Arabidopsis thaliana: one gene and its partners. The protein of the gene in region 3 interacts with the protein of the main gene of each other region in a pairwise test. Each region holds a gene or a part of one and is shown on either strand. Other genes may lie near its edges.

Region 1 (7,898 bases), 2.4 Mb from region 3:
TAAAGTTTATGAAATGGTGGAGTACACTTGACAAAGCAAAAATGTACTTTACCTTTTAACATATTTTCTAGTTAATTTTCGATTCTTTCGATTTTATATTGTTTTATTATATGAAAAAGAAATAAGAGAATCGATGATAATTGCACGTCCCACTAATGACTTATTCAGCATCTCATCTTTTACTTTCCCCACTTAAATATTTCCTTTTCTTCCCTTCGTGTCCGCCAAAGTCCTCGGGACAAAAGAAGAAAGATAGAATTAAAAAAGCTAAAATTAATAACAAATCAAGTGAGTTATAATAATGATATGATTACATTAAGATTAAAATAGATAGAAGGACCCACTAATTAGTTAAAGTATCTTAATAATGTTCACATCTGTCAACTTTTTTTAATAAGATTTTCTTCTGAGTTGTTTCAGGTTTCGGTCGTTTCATTTACAATATTAATATTTTATTCAATATTCGTTTTATTTTTATTTTTTAAGTCTTTGAGATTTTAAGGTAAAACATTTCTCTTTGGACAACTTCTTTGCTTTTCTATATAGTGACATTGATTTGGTGAAGGATGGTTCTAGCTCCATTCCATCCATGAACAATATGTAAGAAATTGTTTATATTCATTTTGATTTTGTTTTTAATTATGTAGGATACATTTACTATAATGTGTTTTTAGTTTTTTACTAGTTGTAATATTATTCTGTAGATTGTTTTAATCTGTTTCTAGTTTTTTCTGTAATTATGTCACAAATCAAAAATGATATAAAATTTTATCTTTTACCAAAAAAAAATAAAAAAAATTATGTAGGATATACTTACTATAATGTACTATTAGGGCATCTCCATCAGTGAGATACCTTTTTGGTTTCTAAAAAAAAAATGATATTTGTATTTTAATAAATATTAGTTATATAATTAAATTTTAATAATAAAATAATATTTGACCAATAGATGATATATATAAATATTTTTATGAGTTTCTCAAAATTTTTCATTTGAAAAACTAATTTTACTTTCTTTCATACTTTTTGATTATATTTTAGTTTTATATTAAACAGTTATTGATAGAGATGGTCTTATATTCCTGTTACTTTTAGTTTTTCTTTTACACAAGTTACGAATAGTTGAGTAAATTTGTAGTCATGATTGGAACTTCTATTATAGACCCCCCATAAAGGAAGAAGGCAAAGTCATCGTGGAGTGGGTCTCTTACACGTCCACGTTTCAAACATCGTAAACAATGTGTTGATTGATTACTTTGTCTTTATGGACCAAATTGAGAAAATAAAAGGAAAAAAGAACGTTTGAGGTGGTTGATTGATTAGTGACTTCAACCATATCTTCTTTCATACTATACTTTTGGAAGTTGGATTACACCGTCTGTGTCGTTGCTGCCAAGTTGTAATGATTTAGCGTGACTGGAAAATTACATGTCTGTATGATTAATGAACCTGAAGCAACAATATCAAATTAATTGAGAGAATATTTCTTTGGACACTTCGACGTAACTTCGTTTGTGATATACAAAAAACATCATACGATAACATATATGATTCGGAAAAATGGTTTAAGTAATTAATTAAGTTAGTTTTAAGTTAAAACTTTTAACCATGAAAGGATACATTTGTAAATTAACATATAAATAGTTAATTAAGTTTTTAAAAATTGGAAAGTGGTCTATGTTTCAAAAATCATTGTTTTTAGTGTAATTTTACAAACTTCCCCTTTTTACTTTTTTTCTTTCTAACAATCAAACCCTATATATTTAGCTATTTGTTTAATTAAACATATTTTAAAAAACTACAAATATATGATTAAACAGATTCTAGCGAAATTATAGTAATCATATACATAAAGTGATCCAAGTATTAGCTCTAAGCAAACTTTCAATACTTTGCAAAAAGAAAAAAAAAGTTTTAGTTAAGTCCATAAAATCTGTTTTCCAAAATATATTTAATAAACATCGAAAATTTATAATCGTACAAAAACAAATGCGACATAAACTTCGACAATTTATCATATATATATATATATATATTTTTTTTAGTGTAATTGGGTTGACATTAGTTTATATTTATTCAACTCTGATTGATCGAGGAAGAACTCAACAAATTTTTATTTCAGCTACTTTCTTTTAAGCCAAATTATGTCATCTAGGCACATCCAATGTTTCAAATGAAAACTTAGAAAATTAGGCTGTTTTGCTTAACATTTTGGGATTAACGATTTTAAATTCTAAGGTAGTTTGTTATTTCAAAACATTTTCGGCTATATATTGAAATTAATTTACATAACAAATTTAGACTATTGTCAATTTTCAGTTTAAAATAAAATTATCCGTTAGTTTAGAGTTTAGGAATCATAGTCCCACCTATCTAAATGGAATGCTTTGAATACACTCCATAATCTATTTTGTCCCCACTAATCCCGCCGCCTAAGTGTTTAACCACAACACGGGTTCAGATCTAATCACTCATTATTATAAAGTCTAATACAATCTCTCATACTATATTTTATGACATAAAGTTGAAATCACTATCATTCTTTACTTGATTACTTGTTTATTTTTGCCATGACTCGGACGGACAATCAACCTCTGTGTTAATCTTGAATTCAATTTGCTTTAGTTAATGTTCCAAGGTGCATTGTTCAATCACTGTTATTTCAGACCCAAAAAAAGTATCACTATTAGTTTCACAAGACTTGAAATTTATTTGCTTTAATTATTGTTCCTGCTGGTAATCACTATTACCTAGGCTATATGTATTTTTTTTTTTGTCAAATAATTTGATTCCATTCAAACGAACAAGAAGATTACAGAGATCCATAGGAGTTCAAAGAACTCTGAATTTAGTACATCAAAGGATAAAGCATTCAAAAATGCAAAACATAGATAAATACGATAATACGACCGTAGATCCAAAAGAGCTAGAAGACATGAGCTAAAAAGCATCTTAAAACAAACGAGACATTGGAGAGTCGAAGACACATCCACGAACAAATCGAGGAGTGGATTGGTCACTAGACATTGCCATTGTGACGTTGAAAAAGAACCCATAACCTTGAGTTTCGCCGGCGCAAAACATGATACATCTTCAACTACAAAAGATAGTAACACGGTTAGGATACGCAACCGATTTCTCAGCTTAAGAACCAGAAAACGAAGATGGTCATTTGATGAGACGGTTCTCTCCATAAAGGAGGAGGGGGAAAAAAGTGATCTCTCCATAAAGGAGGAATTTAACACCAAATGTCTCTCTTTTGTGGAGGAATTTGGGTAAAAGGGACCCTTCAGATCAGATAAAGGAAGATTCAGAGCTCTAAAACGCAGATCGAAAGCTTTTCGAACAATCGCAGAAACTTTCTTTGAAATCTGAAACCAATTCAGAATGTGCACACTGCTAGATTGGGGATGCTGGTTAAAATCGATTTTGTGATGCTTCAAACGGTGGGTAATGAAGATGAAAACCGGTAGATATAAACCGGACAGAGCGAACAGGGAGACTCGAACATGCCACTGTCGGAGCCAAACCGGATCACAGAGCATTAAAATCTTCTTAACAATACGTTCTTCCAAAATTATTCGAGATGATTTCTTCAACGGGAAACTGAGCCGTTGAGAGCAATAACACACTAATAATGTCGTCATAGTTGTAGTCATTAAGCTTAAGACATTTGAAGAAATGATGCAACTTGGAGGCATGATTAATGGGTTGTAATATAGGTTGAAAGGAACAGACCTGGGCCAAGTTGAAAAAGAAATTGGGCCAAAATCCACATAAATGGGCCGAGATGAGATGCAATATGGGCCAAAGGACTGCCAGCAGAATTGTAGATCAAGCCCATGAAAGGAGACCATTGGAAGAATTAGGTTTAAGTTGCTTGCCGGCAGAATCTTCACCGGTACGGACGACGAGCATGAACTCCAGAACAACATGGCTTCTCGAAACAAAATGCAGATGATGCTTGGAGAAGTCTTCATTAAAACGCGAGGAGGTAGAAGTATTGTCGACGATATTCGGTGAGAAAGTTCTTCGGGGAGACCCGAGAGAGATCTAGATCCATTGGATCCGAGAGAAACAGTGAGACAAATCTCATATTTCAAAGATGAAAAACAGTTGGAATCAAGGGATTCCTCTTTTGACGACTTCGAAACCAACGTTGTGAACAGAGGATATGGAAGAAGGAGACTCGCCGGAACACACCTTCTTTCTCTGTCACATATCTCGGAGACGCCATGGGAAGAGGCCAAAAAGAGAAATAGATCCAAATTCGCAAAAATTGAAAGAAAACAGAACTAAAATGAGCAGGTCTTGAAAAGGAAGCTAAGAGAAGACGAGACATCCCGACGCCGGCGAGTTAAAACTCCACCGGCGTCGGAAAACATGGCCAACGATGGTGTCTCGAAAATGGTGCCTGGGAGAGAGCTAAATTATTATCTTAAGATTTCCAAGAAGAATATTGTCTTTCTTCTCTATAGGCTATATGTATAATAATAGAGATTACATATTGAAACTTCTTCACCTACTCTGGGCTAATATCCTAATATTAATCAAAACCTTATTATGAATTAATATGTGGACATTACATATTGAATCGGACTGCTTAATTAATATTTCCTTTGTCTCACACATAAAAAAAACATAAAAATCTCATTTAATTTATCTATTTTCTGTAAAACATCATTAACTACATCTAATTCTACCAATAAAAAAAATATATTGTAAAATATAATTAACCAAAAATTATTAAATACATTTAAGTTTTGAATAGATAAGTGAAAACAACACTTATTTTATAATTTTTTTTTTAAAACTATATATAATCAGAAATAGAGGGAATATACAAACTACTAACATTGAAAAAATAGTATTCGAAGTAAGAAATTTATTATTTTGTATACATGATTTTAGTTAAAGAAACAAAATAATTAACTAGTACCATTCATGTTGCGGATGTTAAAGATCTTTATCGAATAAAAGGATTGAAAAAATTAGGATTTGATTGTTTTAAACGGAAAATGATATCATTAGTTTCCATTTTCCAATGATGCTAAATCAGTTTTTAAAGATTTAAAAAAAACATCGAATATTTTAAAGCGGCCCAAGCCAAATGGAGAGAAAAACGCAAAATCTGTTTTAGCTATCGACCTTCACGTTGGGATTTCTATGTAATCATTATACATTAGACTAAAAAGAAAAATATGTTCTGGAAGAAGACTTTGTTTTTTATAATACTAAGTACAAAGAATAACACTGAGTGCTATCATCATCATTCATGTTTGGTTTATATTGGTCAGTCATGATATATTGGCCGTGACAGCAAAATCTAATCAGTTTAATATCACAATAAAATAGCAGTTGGATTAGTTATGAAATTAATTACCATTGTTTATTTTTTTGGTTGGGTGTTCTGCAAAAAAGGCTCTCCAAATCTCTGTCTGTTTTATTGCAATTTTACTTTCCGTCGTCTTCAAAAAATACAGAACAAATTTATGAAATTAAAAATAATATGTTTTATAACCTTCATATGTATATTTTAAAAGGTTTTATGGTTGCATACATTATATATTCAAAAGGGTTCATGGTAATTTTAAAAATGGATTTAAACTTGTCATCACGAGAGATTCGATTTGCTATGTTGTTTATAAAAAAGTATTTTATGTATTTTTTTATGTATTATGAAATCAAATGTACGTTATCGTAATACGTTTACAATATATATATATATATATATATATATATATATATATATATAAAGGCTAGTTTGCGTGTTATTCTTGATTTTGTAGGATTATTCTATATTTTTTAGAGTTAGAAATAAAGTTAAAAAAATAAACGATTTTGAAGATGTTTTTGTACCATACCCTTTTCTTTATTTATAGTTTTTTCAGGTACAAGTTTGCGCAAAAAAATCTTTATTCTAAACAGGCTTTTATGTCTACATCAAAACATTATGGGCTTTGATATTTGGATGGGCTTTTAAACACCCAAGTCTGCGAAGATATTTGGATGGGCTTTGAACTGGGAACTAAAGTACATTGATAAATTCTAGAAATAAGAGAAAATTGCTTTCCGTATTTTTGCACCATAGAAGAAGTTATATCTTACTCGTTTTTGCAGAAATTTAGTCAGTGAAGAAGTCAACTCTCAACTCGTTTTGGAGAGATTCTTCGAAAAGTATTTGCAGTTTCCATTTTTGGACTAACGTTACATGGAAAATTTCCAAAATGTACATTTCAGAAGATTAATTATACTAATAATAGTAATAACGACGATCAATGACGATAATAATGTCATCATACTAAGTATATATATATATCTCACAAAGATATGACTTACACATTAATTAATTTCACCAATCCATGTTGCAAATTCAAACAAGAATCGATCAAACGATCCTATTGCTTGCTCTTCGATGGTAGGAGCATCTTTAGTTTCTTCTTCTTCTTCCAATGTATTATTTATTCCAACGAGACCTCAAGTATTCATCAATTTCCGAGGAAAGGAGCTATCCCTAAAGAAAATATGAATTAGACATTATATTTAGGAAGTTGCTTAAATATATATATATTTGTGAGTTTTCCTAATGAGAATAGGAACTTATCTAATTCTTTTGTTATATAAGAAAATGCAAAGATGTTGCATAACTTATGAGTTTACTTTAGAGATTGAGAGATTAAGAGAGAGCTTTAGGTTTTTATAGTTATTTTTCTAAAGAAATAAAGAGAATCATTCTTTATATTTTGTTCTTGATCATATCCCTAAAACAAGAATTGGTATTAGAGTTTCAATGTTAAAGCAAAATCCATAGAGAAAGAAGATGAGTGAGGTTGCGGTGGTACTGGAGAAACAAGAAGGCGGAGGCGGAGGTGGACCGTCTTCGATACAATGTCCTATGCTCAAATCAACTAACTATACCGTATGGGACATGAGGATGAGAAGTACACTTAAGGTTCATAAGGTATGGGATACTATAGCGACCGGCGAGACCATACCTTAGCTTCAATGACTTAATCCAGCTTTGACTTAACCACCAAATTCTAGCTTCAATGACTTAATCCAGCTTTGACTTTCGAATATTAGTTTTAAGTTAGACTTAATCAAGTTATGACAAGTTGACAACTTAACATGTTGAATTATATTGTTTGAAGGATTCAAACAGATAATAACGTTGGAAAAATTCGTTTAAAAACTTTCTCTAAAAGAAAAAACCTTTCTCATCATGGCGGCTTCTACCTTTTCTTCGTCGTCTTCTTTTGTAGGATTGATACCATCACGGCCTTTAGTGTTCATAAAGTCGCAAGAAGAAGATGTGAGCAAAGGTCTGATCAATTTTCTCGAACCGGTCTTACAAAACAAAAATATAAATGTCTTCATAGACGAGGAAGAGGTAAGAGGCAAAGGTCTAAAGAATCTGTTTAAAAGAATCCAGGACTCAAAGATCTCACTCGCGATCTTTTCAGAGTCAAAATGTGATTTTAATGATTTACTGAAGAATAATGAATCCGCCGATGAAGCGATTCCTATATTCTACAAGGTAGATGCGACTGGAGACTTGGCCGATCTCCAAAACAGGTATTGTTTCTTTTCCTCTGTTCTTGGTGAAGGACACGTTTTACTTCTTATTTGGTCTTTTTGAATATTTGGTCTGACCCAAATGTTTAAGTAAAGTAAAAAAAGTCAGTCTCTCAGTAAAAAATGATTATAATTTCAAATTTTATTTTATATTCTAGTAAAATTGTAACTAAAAGATTAACTTTTTTTTTTTACTGATAAATACTGTATATCCAATTATCAAACATGCTTTGGTTCTAACTGGCACCCTATCGATTGAATTTTTTATTATCCGTATCGAATGACAGCGTAAAGTGCAAGAAAGATCTCATAAATTCTGCCGT
Region 2 (9,215 bases), about 16 Mb from region 3:
TAATTTTTCTGATAAATCAAACATTGTAATGATACCTTTAGCAAAAAAAACAACAACATTGTAATGATATGAATAATGAGTTCGTCCAACACGCAACCGGTTCATGCCAAACAAGCAAGCTGTTCGAACCAGGGACGTACAATGAGTGACACATGTCAACATATAAGTGATGATAGTTAAGGAAAGAAACATCAGAACAAATGATTAACATGAAGAAGAGACTGATGTGTCTCTGCAGCCAGGCGGCGAAGCGAGTGAAATACACTTCTTCAGTTCTTTTTTTCTATCTTTCAATACGCAAAAATTAAAACAGAGAGCAATCTCAGTAGCTAACGTGGCGATCGGAGAGTCGAGTGCACGTGCAAAGTGTTTTGAAGACAAAGTCACGCCAAAGGCAGCACCAGAGAGAAATAGGCGTGAACGCTGTCCTATTTTTTTAAGTTCAAACTCACGGAAAATCACACAAAATAAAACATAAATAAATGATTTTATAAAGTTATGCTGATTAAAAAATACTAAAAACTTATGTAAATATTTGAAACTATAAAGAAAAAAAAACTCATATCAACTCTGCAAATAACTCAGCTCCTAAATGCAGCACTGAAATGTAGAAACTTTAATGTATACCATTTTCATGGCACTGTTACCATTGTACATACATCCATCATTGAACGCAACATAATTAAGTACATACTCTAAGATACTTTTGGTAATGAGATGTTCAGATTTGCTTAGAAGTCACTCAAATTTATCAAATGAATAAATATTTCTAATTTCTATTTTGGGTGTTTATTCTTTTTATTTAGTGTTGAAAAACACTAGAAAACTATTGTGAAAATGCATGGAAAGCAACACAAATTGGGCCGAGTTCCCATGATTTGATTCTCTCTGTCTTCGGGACTCATCAAACACCAAGCTCCGATATTTCCTATAAATTCGTACAAGAACTTATTCTTATCGATTGTGTATTACTAAATAGGAGTAAATACTAATAACTCGAACCGGTTTACACATATGTGAAACTGTGAGGAAATATTGGTTAAACTAATCCAAAAAAAACATTTGAATTCACAAATTGTTTAACCAAAGCATTTTCCTTTTTCTGGTAAAAAAAAAGAAGAAAAAGAAGAAGATCATTACTGATCTACAACTTTCATCAAAAATCTTTTTGAAAATCAAATATTTCACCAATAAAAAATCCAAAACATTAGTGAAGAAATTTACAAAAGATGGGGCTGCATTCACAATTGGTGTCTTTTAACAAAAATGTCAAACAACGTTTCTAACAAAAAAAAAAATGTTTCAAACAATAAGTTTGATCAATAGAGTATCGACCCCCTAACTATCGTTTACAGCACTACAGTTGTAAAATGTAATGCTGATCATAATTGTTTGTTCACACGGAACGTAACGTAACGAGTTTAAAACTTTAAAGAAGTTATACTTGTATGATACTCTAATTCCGACCTTTACTAGCAGCCTACCTTAGCAGGTTATAGTTTACATGTTGTATTTGTTAAGAGTATCAAGTCGTTTAATGTAACACATCAAGAAGATTTTGATTTGATGATTACGTTAATCGATAACTAATAAATTAAAAAACTAAAATGGTTGGCTCTTTATTTTCATCAAAGGCCTCCTCAAGAAATCTCCTATAGATATCATAAGACCAACACCTAAAGACTGTAATTTTGTATTCCTATATATTAAGTATATTGTACACGTAAAGTCGAATTATGGTATAGGTATTGTAATCTTAATTAATTCGCGTAAACGAATATTCTTATCAGTATGATATATATACTTTAGTTGAAAGTTTATATATATATAGTCATGATTACATCATCGTATCATTGAAAAATACTTAGCCACCTCACATATTATCATATGGTATTTGTATATATGAGAAATCCATTATCTTGTTCCAAATTTAACTAATTGTCGTTGACTCGTTGTAATTTACTAATTTGCACTTATATATATATATATATTTTTTTTTAAAATGTGTGATATTTAAATCTATATGATTATCATTATCGTGAATCACTGAATCTCTGAACATATCACACATTTCCCGGCTTTCAATTTGATTGTATCAAAGCTAATAACGAATAATCTACTCATAAGTTTCAGTTAACTAGTTCATTCAAAAAATAACAACTCAAATCTAATTACGTAAAGCTAACGTTTTGGATGTATAATCTATATATATATACATTTTTCAGTCATTTTAGCAAATAAATCCTAAGTTGAAACTTATTTACAAGAGATGTCATTGCTATCAATTATTATCAATTAATTAATATTCCTAATTTGTAGCATTTCCTTATCTATTATATTTCCATCAATTTTAATTATTTAAAAAATGAGAAATCTTAGGACATTATTCATATATACTTGATTAAAAGATAAATATTATAGTTAATTAAACATTTAAAATATTTAACGGAAAAATGTTTTATAATATTTATAATATATGAAATCTATAAAAATTAAATAATCATTTAAAATAAAACTTTTAAATTAATGTGATTATAAATCTTTTAATAAAAATATTATTCGAACAAAAAATAAAAAAAATAATGTTTAATTTTAACTGTTGAGATTAGATGATAAGACGAGTTTAGAATATTTATAATATATGAACTTTAAAACTATTAAATAATCATTAGAAATAAAACTTTTAAATTGATTTGAATTATATATCTTTTAAAGTAAAGTATTATTAAAACAAAAATACGAGATGGTATGACGAGTTTTGGTCGATAAGTAATACGAGACAGTATAGTACGGGTGAAATCTATTAGATATGTTTAATTTCACTGAACGAGATTAGATGATATGACAATTTTGAATCGATAATAATACGAGACAGTATACCACGGGTGAAATTATATATATATTTATAAATCAAAATATCATTATATTAATAAAACAAATATAATTAAAATTTGAATTATTTAGTTATAATCTAAATTTTAACTTAATAAACTGTTTGTTATTCTTTTTATATTTTTAAACAGTAAAAATTAAACATAGTAATTATATACTAAATAATATATATATATATAAGAGTTGTACATTTAGAAAATATAAAAATAAATTATATATATTTAATCTACTAAACAAATTAATTTTTTATTTTTTGAAAAAGATATAGTCCCGGGTTAAAATCTAGTTATAACTGTAAAAGTATTGCAAAATATTCCTCTAATTCGGTTAAAAACCTAAATCATACGGCTCATACCCAAAAAATTATTACAAAACCTAACTGTACATATAGCTCTTGTCATATGTCGTCGTAAAAAATACTCGAGTTTAGCTCATTCAAATAGAGCTTTACTCAGCTGCTAAAATAAAAAATTAATGCAATTATAACTAACGTAATTAATTAAGCTCCGTACACGTGAATATATATATAGAGAGAGAGAGAAACAAAAAAGGAAACATGTATATATGTAAAAATGGAGCATTTGCTACACCAAATCATCTTTCTTAATCGTCCTCTCCTTCTTCTCCTTCTCCTACTTCTCCTTCTTCTCCTTTTTCTTTCCTTTATCATATCCATCATCCCAAACCTAGCTAAACCCACAAATCATATCTTAGGATTACTACAATACACAACATACCAAATGAAATTGTATTTCTGTTGAACTTTATGCATCCATAGTTATATATATTTACCAGAAATCAAGCAAGTTGAGGAAATCATCCAAGGTAATCCTACATTTCTCTCATGACTCATCATTTTCGATTAGGGTTTCTTAGTTGGGTTCAATTTCTATAAATCCCAGTTACGATTATGGTCTTAACTACGGGTATAATCTGAATTAGCTATCGAGTTCATCGTAGATTTTACATATCCGAAGAGCTTTATTTATTTTAACAATATGATTAGTTAGAGGGATATTTAGGTTGCATGTGTGTCATTTGTGACTACCACGTTGGGGATATACAAACATACATTTCATAATTAACTTTAATTGTATTTTTCCTTAAGAAAATTTCCATAGATATTGAAATTGAGCTTTCTAATAATGATATCCATATACACAAAGTATATAGGGTCTCATATGTGTGAATATACCACTATATCAGTATTGTATAATGAACATGCAAATTACATTTTTAAATTTACCCACCATTTTGCACTTTTACCTTATACAAGTGAAAAGGGACAATAGTACTAGGTCCCACTACGATATAAAAAGGAAAGATACGATTTTTCTTTATCTCTAAACACGAAACATATACTGTATGATGGTTTGTAATAGATGGTATAATCAGAATGCATTTGAATAGTTGATTAACATTTTCGCTTTCGTAAAGATGAAACAGAGAGATATAATTCTACAACATTTGCCGGAGTCCAATTGTCCAAAAGTAATATCTTTAATTCATTTTTAACAGAAAACAAAAGTAACATCTCTATGAATCATGGTTTATAGCCCATTAATATGTAGTTCATACATATCTAAAAATATATTATCGTCTACTGGAAATTATTGCAAGGAGATTCCTAATAGACTTTCTAGGACTATTAATTAATAGGGCTATTGATTATCAGTTGTTTCATAAGTTAAGTAGGAACACTAAAGTATAATTGAACAATAGACTATTTATTTCGTATACTGTATTAGTGTATTCTAAATTGTATTTTATTACGTTCCACGTAATTGGGCCATAAGAAGACCCGGCAATCCACGTGAAAGAGAATCCTTCCCACTAGCATCCACGTTGCCACATTAATTTTTAAATAGTTTCTCATCAATTAAACATTATAATATTAATCACCATAAACATCACCATAAATTTTTTGTTGGTACAACAATCTCCATCTTTTGTTTGTCGCATATCTTCGGATAACAAACTTTTTTTAGTGGAATGTGTTTTCTAAATGGTAAATGACCATACTATATACTAGTAGAACGTAAAAAACAAAATGCTAAATCCAATACAACTTCTTAAACCTTGTGTAAAACTTTTAAATTAGCAAAAAAAATATTAACGAGATACCTATCAGGCTACTACACCACAATTAATCTCAGAGAGCCCAAAACAATAATCATTAATTCATTACATATCCCTAGGAGAACTCCTTTTTAAAATCTTTCAAAAACTTTAGCATTTCCGATGGTCAAAATCCCCCAAAATAATAATATGGATCCGTTTCCACGCGCTCCTTGCAATTTATAAATAAAATTCATTAGACCAAACCTTATTTTTTACCCTTATGTATATAGTATGTTTGATTTACATGAGGGAAAAAAACGAAGTCGTTACATGTCGTGGTTTACACGCGATAAAGAAGAGCGTGAGAGAATAGTGAATCTAAACCTGAACTGTCTTGGTCATTAAGTGAAAAATGCATGGAAAATCTCGAGTTGTTGTTTCCTACATCTCTCTGTTTTTTTTGTTTTAATAAAGTTTTTACTATTTCCTATACGTATCAACTTGTAAGCAAAACCTTTTTCAAACTTTGATCCATAAATTAAATACATATCGATGTATCTCGTATATATATATTACAGTGACCAAGCTCTTCATTTTTTTCTGTATTATTTTTTGTTGTAGTAGGCTTTTGTTTTGATGGAGGAAAACCCGCATCGAGTTTCACGTAGAAACCATGGCGGGACCCACTGTCAAAACGACGCCGTGGACGAAGAGAACCGTCGACGACGGCATAACCACCACACTCACGGCGACGAAGTCAAATGCTCCAGTAAGAGATGCCGATCGTGGGCGGCTGCGGCGATTGCTGACTGTGTAGCGCTTTGTTGCTGTCCATGTGCGATCATCAACCTTCTTACTCTTACTCTCGTCAAAGTCCCGTGGATGATCGGACGGCGATGTCTCGGCGGCGGCGGTCGGAATAAGAAGAAGCGGAGAGTAATACACAGGAGGAAACGCCGCGGGAATATCAACGGTGAAGATGAGTTTTATCATCATAATAACCATCACCGCCGGTTTGAGACAGCCGAGGAGGGTGAGAAATGCGGCTGCGGCGGTGGCGGAGGAGGATGTTATGGCGGCGGAGATTATGATGATCACCGGTTTGTGGTAGAGAGAGATGGGAGTTTAACGAAGGAGGAGGAGGAGGAGGAGAGAACGACGTCGTGTAAAGGAGAAGATCATGATGAGTCGCGAATAAGTGCAAGAGTTGAAGCCGAGAGAGTGTGGTTAGAGTTGTATCAGATTGGTCATCTTGGATTTGGTAGAGTCTCTTTCACTGGAATTCAATGATTGATCAATTTGTAGGATTTTTTAGTTATATTCGAATAAATATAAAATGTGAATGTTTTAGTCTATGTGTTCTATTCTATGATAGGTCTCGCTCGTGAGCGTATTCGCATATATACATCTCGATCGATCCACTATGCTAGAAACCACATTTGTGATATATAACTGCAGAAATTTGTTCATTCCATCAAAATATCATGAATTAGCTCGACAGTGGACCTAGAAGTGTTCACATTGTTAGAGACTTATACCTTTAAATAATTTGATTCATAAAACTAGTTTTGAAAAAAAAAAAAAACAGAGAGGAAGTGGTTATTGGTAGTTTGATGATTTTTTATCACATTCCAAAGCTTTTGTCATTCAATTTTTTTAGTTACAATTAATTCTATATAATGCCAGTAAATTATACTCAGTATGATTGGAAGATGATTTCTTAACACTTATAAGTTCATATGATTTTTCTCATATTCACTAAATACTTAAAACCCTATACAATTAGAATCTTTTATTTAAATCAATAAAGTACAAACTATATAACAAAATGAAGCTAGCCTACCAATAACACCCAAAATATAGCAATGGGCCCGTTTATAAACAGATTGAATAGTTGGGCTAGATAAGAGACCCACTAACAAAGTTCTGCTCCTAAACCGACCCTGCGCATTTTAGTCGGCAGCAAAATTTATTACGATATCGTGCTCTAATGTGCGCCGTCCGCGCACAATACCCTTTCCTCTCTGCTTGTGCCTGACATAGTTGTTATTCAGTTCATTCCTGCTTCCCCGCCTTCCTCTTTTAGGAACCAATAGAGCTCGAGAGAGTAGTCGAGTGAAACAATAATGGAGAGCGAGCCTACTCGAGTGATGGTGGCGGTGAATGAATCGACTCTCAAAGGCTATCCACACGCGTCGATAAGTAGCAAAAAAGCATTCGAGTGGACACTGAAGAAGATCGTTCGGTCCAATACCTCTGGCTTCAAGCTTCTCTTGCTCCACGTTCAAGTTCAAGACGAAGACGGTTACTTCTCTCTCTCATTCGATCGTTGAATTTTGAATATCGTGATACTTGGATTTGAGTCTGTATCTGTCTGCTTAATGTTGTTGATCATTAGTTTCAATGATGATGCTCAACGGATATTTTTTAGGGTATAAGTAGATTAATTCAGGCTAAATTAGGTGTTTGTATATGTTCTCAAGACTTGATCTCTAGTGTTTTAGCTGTTTGTGAGGGTCGTAGAGTTTTCAATGGAAGTCAAAGAACCGACAAGAACTGTTTTTGGTTAGTTAGAAGAATCTAGATCCACTTCTGAGAAGAATTGTGCTTTTGATTTCTAAGAAATATTATGGAAAAGACTTTCTTCATGTTTATGTGATGTTTTTCCTCTTCATTGGGAGCAATGCAATAATGTACCAAGTTTTATTTTTGTTAGGTAGCATTAATAAATGTGATCTTACTTGTTCTGATTATGAATTGGGAACCAGGTTTTGATGACATGGACAGTATATATGCTTCCCCTGATGATTTCCGACAAATGAGGGAGCGTAACAAGGCTAAAGGACTTCACCTTCTTGAGTTTTTCGTTAAGAAATGTCATGATATTGGGGTAAACGACTCCTTTAAACTCATTGATAGATCCATATCTGTCTTTATGTCCCTCACTTGTATCACAGTAACTTTTGGTGGCTCTGATACATGGTAGTTGTTGAACTTGTAGGTTGGGTGCGAGGCTTGGATCAGGAAAGGTGATCCCACAGAATTGATATGCCATGAAGTGAGGCGAGTCCGGCCAGATTTTCTGGTTGTGGGAAGTCGTGGTCTCGGCCCATTCCAAAAGTATGTACAATCCTCACACACGCCTCAAGAAGACTTATTCTTGCTTTACAGTTATACCATATCGATTAGTCATTATGTAGTCTCAAATGACTTGTTGGTTTCGGGAAAAATACAGATCAAGAGTTTATTAGAAATCCTGAGACCTTTTTCTTGCATATGATGATTGATGACACCTCATGGAAATCAATCACTGCTTATGCTTTAGACTTTATACTGCACCGAGAATCGTCATTAGCTCTTGTACTTGCTTGAGCTTGAAATCACAGATATTGATCAAGTTCACATTTGTTTACCACTGGACAGGGTATTTGTTGGAACAGTGAGTGAATTTTGTGTGAAGCATGCAGAATGCCCAGTCATCACAATCAAACGCACTGCTGAAGAATCTCCACAAGATCCAGCTGATGACTAAATTTCAAAAGCAACGCAAAACCATGCGGTGATTTCATGTCTGCTGAATCCCGCAAGCTTTTGAGAGACAATAAATGGGTGTGTTGCAGTACAGAAGAAGAAAAACGTTACAAAAAACTCTTTTGATTGATCTAGTAAGTGCATCTGTAATTCTAGATGTTATTCGATGATACTACACACACAAAGCATCATATATATTCGTGTTTAGTCTCCATTCTCGAAACATAAAAACAAAAAGTTCCTTTATTTGTTGTGTAATCTTAGACTCTTCAATGTCTTTCATATATGGCTATCCAATGTCTGGTCTGCTGTATCTGATTGCAAATGCTTCTTGGGATGTTCTCGTTTATCATCATGGTCCTAGTATTAACTGAGTACTAAGGAAGTATCAAAGAGGTGGAGCAAATGAAGCGTTTCTTGGAGGAATTGTCATGTCTTGAGCTCGTTAACGTTGGCGCATCCCCAAAAGACCACAAGGAAAAGCTACGACTCACCACGGATTTTCTAATGCTACCTAAAGCTTCTTCCAAATTCGAGATCAAGTTGAGTTTCTTGAAAATTACCATATTGGCTCTCATATTTGTCCAAGTTTGTTGGAACATGAATCTACTTACTCTTCTGTTGGACCATTTGAGCCCTCATGCATAGTGTATTTGATTTGGTTTTATTAGGGTTCTATAAACTGAGAGAATTTGTAAAAACCTTCTATATAAGGAGGAAAAGGTATCATA
Region 3 (8,803 bases):
ACTGATTATTAGTTTCCGGATTTAAATAAATAACCTCATTAACAATGTCAGCGTCGTCGTTCCCGCGTAGCGTGATACTCACAGCCCGATCGGATACCAAGGGCAAATCTGTATTTTCGTGGTTAACAGATTGGCAAAATGAAGAAAAGTTCCACCACGGATTCTTTTTTTTTTTTTTTTTTTTAATTATTCAATTAATTATTATCTCCTCTGGCCCTTTGCTTTCCCTCTCCTTTCGTCTTTCTCTTCCAAAATTTCTTTCGATTGATTCCCAGAAACAAAAAAAATTCCAATTCCTTCGAACTGCATTATCGATCGTGCCCCAACTAGGCGATTCGAAATCGTCGATCATTATCGAAGTGAAGATTCGAAATTCCCAGTTTTGAATTTCTCTTTTATTCTGTGAATTGATATCAAAAATTTTCCGAAAGAGAAAGATTATTTGGTAAGTTCCAATTCGAATATGCATTTGCTGCAAAAAAAAAAAAAAAAATCAAAATCTGATGATTTTTTTTATTAAAGTGTTTCAGAGAATTTGAAGGAGGAGATCGGAATAGTTGAAAATGGCTAACCAAGGTGGTCCGTCGAGGAAAAGTCTCTCCTTCTCCGGTCATTCATTTCAAGGAAGGAAAAAAGCTTCAGAAAACGAAGGTGGTGGTGGTGGTGGCTCTGATCTCCTCCCACGAAGATCTCTCACATCTTCTCGTTCTTCCATGTAATCATCACCCCATTCTCTTCCAATTCTTCATTTTTCTGAGGAATGATACATGTTTCAAAATATATGAGATTGGAAGTAAATGTTTGCATGTTGTTTCTTGGTGTAGAAGCTTGAGTGGGGAAAGGAGTGGTGAGAGAACGGTAAAGAGACTAAGGTTGTGTAAGGCTCTTACTGTACCAGATAGCACAACTTTATTTGAAGCTTGTCGAAGAATGGCTGCTCGTCGTGTTGATGCGTTATTGCTGACTGATTCTAATGCATTACTTTGTGGGATCCTAACAGATAGGGTATACATGTTTTCATGAACAGGATTCTAAATGCAAACTGGACTTTTCACTTATGTTTTTTTTTTTATCTCTTTTGTTTTTTTTAAGGATATAGCAACAAAAGTGATTGCTAAACAACTTAACCTTGAAGAAACACCTGTATCTAAAGTTATGACCAAGAACCCTGTTTTTGTTTTGTCTGATACTATTGCTGTTGAAGCTCTTCAAAAGATGGTTCAAGGTTTGTTATTTCTTGTTCTTTTATAAGTTCTTTGTTGGTCTTGGTACTTGAGCTGACTAGTGGATATGCAGGCAAGTTTAGACATTTGCCGGTGGTGGAGAATGGAGAAGTTATCGCGCTTCTCGATATTGCAAAGTGTTTGTATGATGCTATTGCCCGCATGGAAAGATCAGTTGAGAAGGGTAAGGCTATTGCTGCGGCTGTTGAAGGCGTTGAAAAGAACTGGGGAACATCTATTGCTGGTATGTTTAAAAATATGGAATTGAGTATCTCCATTTGAATCCATCACAAATGTCTTCTTGCATGCCTCTGATGGCGTTTTTGTTGGATATACGATAGGACCAAACACTTTTATGGAGACACTTAGAGAACGAATATTCAAGCCTTCACTTTCAACTATAATTCCGGAGAATACAAAGTAGGTAATATCTCCTCTATATTTATTATCATATTTGAAATCATTTTGATCTTATACTTGTTTTATTGAGAGAAATAATGCAAAGCTTAACGAGTAAATTTGGAATGAAAACGTACAGGGTTTTAAAGGTTGGATTGGATGAGACTGTGTTAGGAGTAACCATGAAGATGGTGGAATATCAGTCTAGCGCAGCCATGGTGATGGTGGAGAACAAATTAGTTGGGATTCTAACGTAAGTGTCATATTTGGCCCCTTGTCTTCTTTTTCGTTTCTATGGTTCTGAAATTTTTTCTCTACAATATCATGTTTTAATCTTTTCTAGTGGAACTTTGATCTTAAATTGTGATTTTTGTTAGCTCAAAGGACATCTTGATGCGGGTGATATCCCAAAACCTTCCTCAAGAGACAACTACTGTGGAGAAGGTAAAGTTTTCGTTAAGTTCGTGTTTTCGCTATATATGTATGTATGCTTATGCTCGTTAGTTTTGAATCTGGTTGAAATTATTCTTTTCAACTCTTAGATTTATATGAGTACTCATTTTTCGTCTTTGTTGTTTCTTTTCAATCCCATTATTCTATAGGTTATGACACCGAATCCAGAATCTGCAACAGTTGATATGGCAATTGTTGAAGCCTTACATATCATGCATAATGGCAAATTTCTGCATCTTCCTGTATTGGATAAAGGTAACAAAATGTCCTCAAAACTGACTTTGAGCTATAAAGTATGAAGCATTGTTATTTCAACACTTGTCTAATGTTGATGATTACATACAGATGGAGATGTTGTCGCTGTTATTGATGTGATCCACATAACTCATGCTGCTGTTACTACGGTACACTTTTTTTCTTCTATTATTCTCTTCTAGTTGAAGTCGAAAACATGAGACAAGATCGATAAACAATCCGAGAGAAGAAAGAACATGATATATTTGTTGCATACTATTCTTGTTTTGCTATAAACTCTTTATTTCCTTTTGACAAGGCTGGAAGTACGGCTGGAATAAACAATGAGACAGCAAACTCAATGATGCAAAAGTTTTGGGACTCTGCTATGGCTTTGTCTCCTAACGAAGATGGCGATGAAACGAGGAGGTTTCTACTCATATTCCTTTGAACCATTTAGTTTTGACCATAAGGTGGTTTCTTAAACTGGATCATATGATTTTTCAGTGAAGAAGAGTCGATGAAATTATCTTCGGAGATAGAAGTAACAAAATCATTTTCATATCCCAACACATTTGCTTTTAAACTCCAAGATAAAAAGGGACGAATGCATAGATTTATGTGTGGTACGTTAAATCATAACTCTTGAGAAACAGGACACCTATTATGCCAATGCTGCTTAGTCCATTAACCTTTTGTTTTTACTTTTCAATAACAGAAACACAGAGTTTGACAACTCTGATAACAGCAATCCTACAAAGAATGGGGGATGACATTGAGCCTGATAACTTGCCTCAGATAATGGTACATATTTATTCGAAAACTTATTAAACGAGAAGATAGGAAAAATTTTCTTCTTTTGTTGACATATTTTGTGTTGTGTAGTACGAAGATGAAGACAATGACAAAGTTGTTTTAGCATCAGATAATGATCTTGGAGCTGCTGTAGAACATGCAAAATCAATAGGCTGGAAGGTAATAAATTGTACATCCATACTTATTGTCAATTAGTGTAAAGAACTAGGATGAAATGATACCTTAAATCCGCGGTCTCGTTTTGGTTAATGTGGATTTTGGGCTAAAGAAGAGTATATTTGGGTTGGGGATTCCAAATGGTGCAGGGTTTAAAATTGCATTTGGACTACACAGAAGAAAGAGGGCACAGGAGAGGTCTAAGTTCAGAGGATATGGACTACGACCAGTCAAACTCATGGGCAGCCGCTTACAAAACGGTTGCAGCCGGGGCTGCTCTTGCTGCTGGACTTGGAGTTTTGGTGTACCTTAAGCGCAACTCAAACTAACAGATTCATTTTGGGGAGATACAAAAGTGAATGCTTTTGCAAACCAATTTTTAAACCTAAGCTTGTGAAGTGTATACCTCTTCATTGATTCGTGTTTTTTTTTTTTTTTTATCTTGTTGCTTATTTGTTTCTCAACCTTACACATGAATTGTATATAAATAAGTAAACATTTTATTTGTATTTACGGTGTTGTCCAAACTTTTCTTTGAAACTGAAAATTACAAAATAAGTAATCATATGAATCAACGAAAAAAAAAAAGAAATAGAAAGTTTTGAGAGCGTTTGACTATGATGACTTTGTGGCGTCACAAACTAGAGCTCCTAGTCAACGACCGATGGCTAGTTTTCGTCTGCGCCATGTGGGTCCAATCCGTCGCCGGCGTTGGCTATCTATTCGGCGGCTCTATGTCTCCGGCAATCAAGACTTCCCTTGGCTACAATCAGAAACAGATCGCTCTTCTCGGCGTAGCTAAAAACCTCGGTGACGCCATCGGATTCGTCTCCGGTGCTTTATCTGAAGTCTCACCTTCCTGGGTGGTTCTACTCGTCGGTGCAACTCAGAACCTTTTCGGCTACGGTGTTGTTTGGCTCGTCGTCACTGGCCAATTGCCTAATTTGCCTCTCTGGATGGTGAGATGAATTTTACAAATCAAAATTGCTTACACATTTGCGATTTCGTTAGTAATTGTGCTTTGCTTTTGATTATTTGTACGATTCTCTAATTTTGGCTTGAACTTCCAGATATTCAAAAAAAAAAAAAAAAAAAGATGTTAAAGCTTACATATGAGTGTGATCCTGCTTGATTCTGGTTTATTTGTTCATGTAGTTGTTTGTTGCTATATTCGTGGGAACAAATGGGGAAACATACTACAATACAGCGTCGCTTGTGTCATGCATTCATAACTTCCCAGAAAGCCGAGGTCCTGTGGTGGGAATCCTGAAAGGGTTTTCTGGCTTGAGTGGAGCAATCTTGACTCAGGTTTATTTGATGTTCAACCCTTCTCATGATTCTTCGGTTATTCTCATGGTTGCTCTTGGACCACCAGTCGTGGTTCTTGCTCTACTATTTATTGTTAGACCCGTGGAAAGAAGTTGCAGAACGAACTTGCGATCTGATGATTTAAGATTCCTGGCTATTTACGGTTTCTGTGTTGTCCTTGCGGTATATTTACTAGGATTGTTGGTACTTCAGAGTGTTTTTGATATGACTCAAACGATTATCACAACCTCTGGAGCCATCCTTGTCATTTTCATGGTTGTTCCAGTTCTTGTCCCTTTTTCATCGGTTTTCATCTCGGGTAATAATGTCACCTCAGTGAAGCCTGAAGAAGGAACTTCCAATGTGGATCAGCATGAGGCTAGAACTTTAATTGAGAGAAGTGACAGACCGCCGGAAAAGAAAAGAGCGCCGTGTATAGGAGAAGATTTCACCTTGTTACAAGCTTTGGGACAAGCTGACTTCTGGCTTATATTTATGTCTCTGGTTCTAGGTGTAGGTTCGGGAATCACGATTATAGACAATCTTGGTCAGATTTGTTATTCCCTCGGGTACAGCAACACCAAAATATTTGTCTCACTGATCAGCATCTCCAATTTTCTCGGCCGTGTTGCTGGTGGCTACTTCTCTGAGCTAATCATAAGGTACAAAACCCTTAACCATTTCACTTTCGCTTTTAAGAAGCATCTGTGTTTTTTACTGACAGATTCATCTCTTTCTGCCTCTTCAAAAGGAAACTCTCACTTCCAAGAACGTTGGCAATGTCTGTGGTTCAGGCGATAATGTCTTTGGGGCTCATCTACTATGCCATAGATTGGCCAGGGAAGATCTACGTAGTGACCATTGTGATAGGAATGGGTTATGGCGCTCATTGGGCGATTGCTCCTGCTTCAGTCTCTGACATTTTTGGCCTGAAGAGCTTCGGTTCTCTTTACAATTTCCAGATTACAGCTTTGCCTATTGGGTCATTTGTGTTCTCAGGTGTGATCGCTAGTAACATCTATGACTACTACGCCAGAAAGCAAGCCGGACCCACCACAGAGACTGAGTCGCTCGTCTGCACGGGCTCGGTGTGTTATTCAGTCACGTGCAGTCTCATGTCCATGTTGTGTCTAATGGCTATGGTTTTGAGTTTGAGTGTGGTTTATAGGACGAGGAAGTTTTACTTGAGGCTTCATCACCGAGTCTCAAAGACTTGAAGATAGTGTAATTGTGTAAGCAATTTTCATTTGGTCTTTGGAAGATATATGTAAGCAATTTTGAATTCCATACTCAAAATCTTTAATTGGTGTTCACAAGTATTTAAATGTAACATTAAAAAAATAATTGCCCTAAAAGAGTTAGATAACTTACATTACATAAACATAATTTTAATAGATATAAAAAAAATTCTTGAAAGAAAAATTAAAAAACCAACTATATTTGATTAATTTCTACAAATACCAACTATAGATTTTGAGTATTGAAATGGAACACTGAAATAGGGGAAATGTTTTACCATAAAATGTCATTTATATGCATGTACGAAATTCTTGTCAAATACGTATCACTTTATGGTTTTTGAACTTATGAAATTTGGATGCTTCAGTTTGATTGTGGGGAGAAACCTAGGTATCGTTCTTGTTCTATTCTCTTCTCCTTCGTTTTGAGATTTTGTGTATGGACATAATATGAAATTGGGAACTGATGAGTGCTTTGACTGAATTAAAAACATAACTGGAAAATATAAAATTAATATTTTTTACCTTAAGAGTCGTATTTGTTTACTAATCTTTACTACATGTTCATCATCTTAAAGGTGTTGAGAGTGTTTTTATCTTTACTTAAACGTTAATTCAAAACGAAGATAAGAGAAGCTAAGAAAATTTAATTCTTCGTCTAAATCACTCACAAGGTATAGAACCTTGCGGTGCTTTTATTTGAATTTTTTTTCCTAGTCCTTGTCTTATCTTTTCTAGAGTTTCTGTCATTAATCAAATTTGCTTTGACAAATGGGTTCTCAACTTTTAGGATTTTATAATCCCTAAATTATAAAAAATTTATGGACTTCTTTTTGGCTATCAATTGGTTTGGTGTGTAGTGTTGTATAAGAAAGAGATAAGTGATTTTGCTTTGATTTATGTTAAAACCATTTTTCTGAGATTAGTGAATGGTAAAGTTTGTTTGATTGATGGTGTTAATGGTTTGTGTTTTCAATAGATTATATCAGCATCTTTGTGTTTGCAAATGTTTGTTAAGTTTCATCTTAATCCAGTGGTCTCTACGATCTCTAGCAACAAGCCTGTTCTAGATTCCTGAATCTGTTTTCTAAAGTTTACCATGTTGTTTATTTTCGTAAGAGTTTTGGCTTTGTTTTCCAACGGATTTACGCGGGAAAACTCAATTCGGATTTAAGTTTGTTACAAACTTTCGGCCGCAAAATGTCTATTCATTATTGCCGTTTTCCTAAATTTGGCATGAGTTGTTTGTTTAGGAGTAGATATTTCTTATAACAATTTTGATGGATTCCTTACCTAAGACTTCAAGATTTGATCTTAAGGGAGTCAATATCTTTGGTTCTTAAATTTCAAAATTAATATTATCGAACTTTGATGCAAAGAACATCTATCTAGATACCTATTTCCACCATTTATGTTTTCATAGATATTGGAATTATTTTTATCTCTATGGATAACTTGGGGCAAAAGTTTTCTCACTTTCTGCTTTCAGCAATGTTCAATTTTGGGTTGTTTTATTTTCTGATCAATCTCTTTCTTTTGCATGATCTAAACTAAGAGACATAAAAGGACCTTTTGACGAAGAAATGATGCACATGGACGAATCAAGAAAGGAAATCATTCGAGAAGAAGCTAAACGAGCGAAAGCCATCGCAGTGGAAAAATATAAAGCGGGTGATTTTGCTGGAGCCAAAGAGTTTGCTCTCAAGGCAAAACAAATTAATCCTGCACTTGGTGGTCTTCGCCGTCTCAATGCACTTCTTGACGTGTGCATGGGTTTCCAGAAGCAAGTCAATGGTGAAGTTGATTGGTATGATGTTTTAGCGGTCGAGCGAACCGCAGATTTTATAACAATCTTTAATCGTTATAGCACATTAGCTATTGACATTTCCCTTGACCGTGACGAATCTGTTGGTAGTGGTGTTAAAGAGGCACTGAAGATACTCACTGATGCCTCGAAATATTTTCTCGAGAGACGCGAACTTTTACCTTCACGGAGAGTTTCTGGTCCAATAAACCAACTAAGCAGGATTAGTTGTGAAGGAAGCAAACAAAAGGAACCTCCACCAACAAATCTACTTCATGTTTCTAAGTTAACAAGAATGAGCGAAGACGCAGAGATTAGACACGATATTTCTCCAAATAGGCTTCGAAGTGCATTGGCTCGAAAGGCTACGAGTGTGATCAAACTGAGTCTTGAAACGTTTGTTTGTTCTTCTCCGCACAATAATGTTGGTGCTGCTGAGGAAACTGATAATAAGGTCATGGAGGAGTGATAGATACAGCAACATCTTCAAGAAAGAGGCGCTTAAAGCAAACGGCTACTTGCTGGTTTTGGACCGTTTGGTGTTTAATTTAAAATTGGTTTTGGTTTTATTTTAAATTTGGATTTTTTTTGTTTTTACATTTGCATTTTTTATTTGGATTTTCCTCCATTAGCTTTGTTGCTTTGTCATTCATTTTTGAGTTTTAATAAAAGAGAGTTTATCTCTTTCCTTGTTCTTAGAGTTCTATTGAATACTCCCAAACGTACAAGAAGCAGGTCCCTATCGTTTCCTTTGAAACAAACATATTGAGCTGAATTCCAGGTTTAACGATGTGCCTAAAGTGGTGGTTTATGATTGTTCCAGATGCTGATTTGTACAGTTTCTCGTACTTGCCATCAAACTATACACGGACAGAAATGAACATTTAAGAATAACTGAGAAGAAAAAAAAAATCCAGCACAATAATTGTTTTGTTTTTTTGACAAAATTTAAAATATCATATTTACAAAAAAAAAAAAAAAAAAAAAAAAGGTTTTCAAGATTCTCAATATCCAGTAGGGTTCGTTTAGAGTAGAAATTCTTTGGTTACCTTTTAGAGATTAAGAAGAAAAAAAGTCTTTGTTCAAACTATATTTTTCTTGAAACAAAGAAATAAATTAATGAAAACGCCATTTAGAAAAGATTCATTTCTACAAACAGCGATTTTGTATAT

The links. Proteins that work in one complex are often made in the same cells at the same time.
Region 1: the proteins of AT5G50520 (region 3) and AT5G45095 interact in a protein complementation assay, tested with the Arabidopsis thaliana proteins (one large-scale study listed by BioGRID).
Region 2: the proteins of AT5G50520 (region 3) and AT5G14690 interact in a protein complementation assay, tested with the Arabidopsis thaliana proteins (one large-scale study listed by BioGRID).

The regions. Positions count from the first base shown.
Region 1 is NC_003076.8:18,203,923-18,211,820, reverse strand, and holds AT5G45095 (uncharacterized protein), read right to left. Parts: upstream 4,459-7,898; 5' UTR 3,981-4,458; coding exon 2,796-3,980; 3' UTR 2,769-2,795; downstream 1-2,768. Other genes in the region: PP2-A7 (phloem protein 2-A7), read left to right, coding at 6,821-6,961, 7,298-7,575, 7,863-7,898.
Region 2 is NC_003076.8:4,730,890-4,740,104, reverse strand, and holds AT5G14690 (uncharacterized protein), read left to right. Parts: upstream 1-3,459; 5' UTR 3,460-3,717; intron 3,718-5,392; exon of another isoform or gene 5,393-5,577; 5' UTR 5,578-5,589; coding exon 5,590-6,243; 3' UTR 6,244-6,447; downstream 6,448-9,215. Other genes in the region: AT5G14680 (Adenine nucleotide alpha hydrolases-like superfamily protein), read left to right, coding at 7,080-7,257, 7,722-7,843, 7,955-8,073, 8,377-8,485.
Region 3 is NC_003076.8:20,566,683-20,575,485, reverse strand, and holds AT5G50520 (Major facilitator superfamily protein), read left to right. Parts: upstream 1-3,829; 5' UTR 3,830-3,898; coding exon 3,899-4,240; intron 4,241-4,436; coding exon 4,437-5,251; intron 5,252-5,340; coding exon 5,341-5,806; 3' UTR 5,807-5,953; downstream 5,954-8,803. Other genes in the region: AT5G50540 (uncharacterized protein), read left to right, coding at 45-386; AT5G50530 (CBS / octicosapeptide/Phox/Bemp1 (PB1) domains-containing protein), read left to right, coding at 564-715, 825-1,005, 1,093-1,225, 1,297-1,467, 1,565-1,643, 1,762-1,875, 2,000-2,066, 2,225-2,330 and 6 more; AT5G50510 (Molecular chaperone Hsp40/DnaJ family protein), read left to right, coding at 7,411-8,100.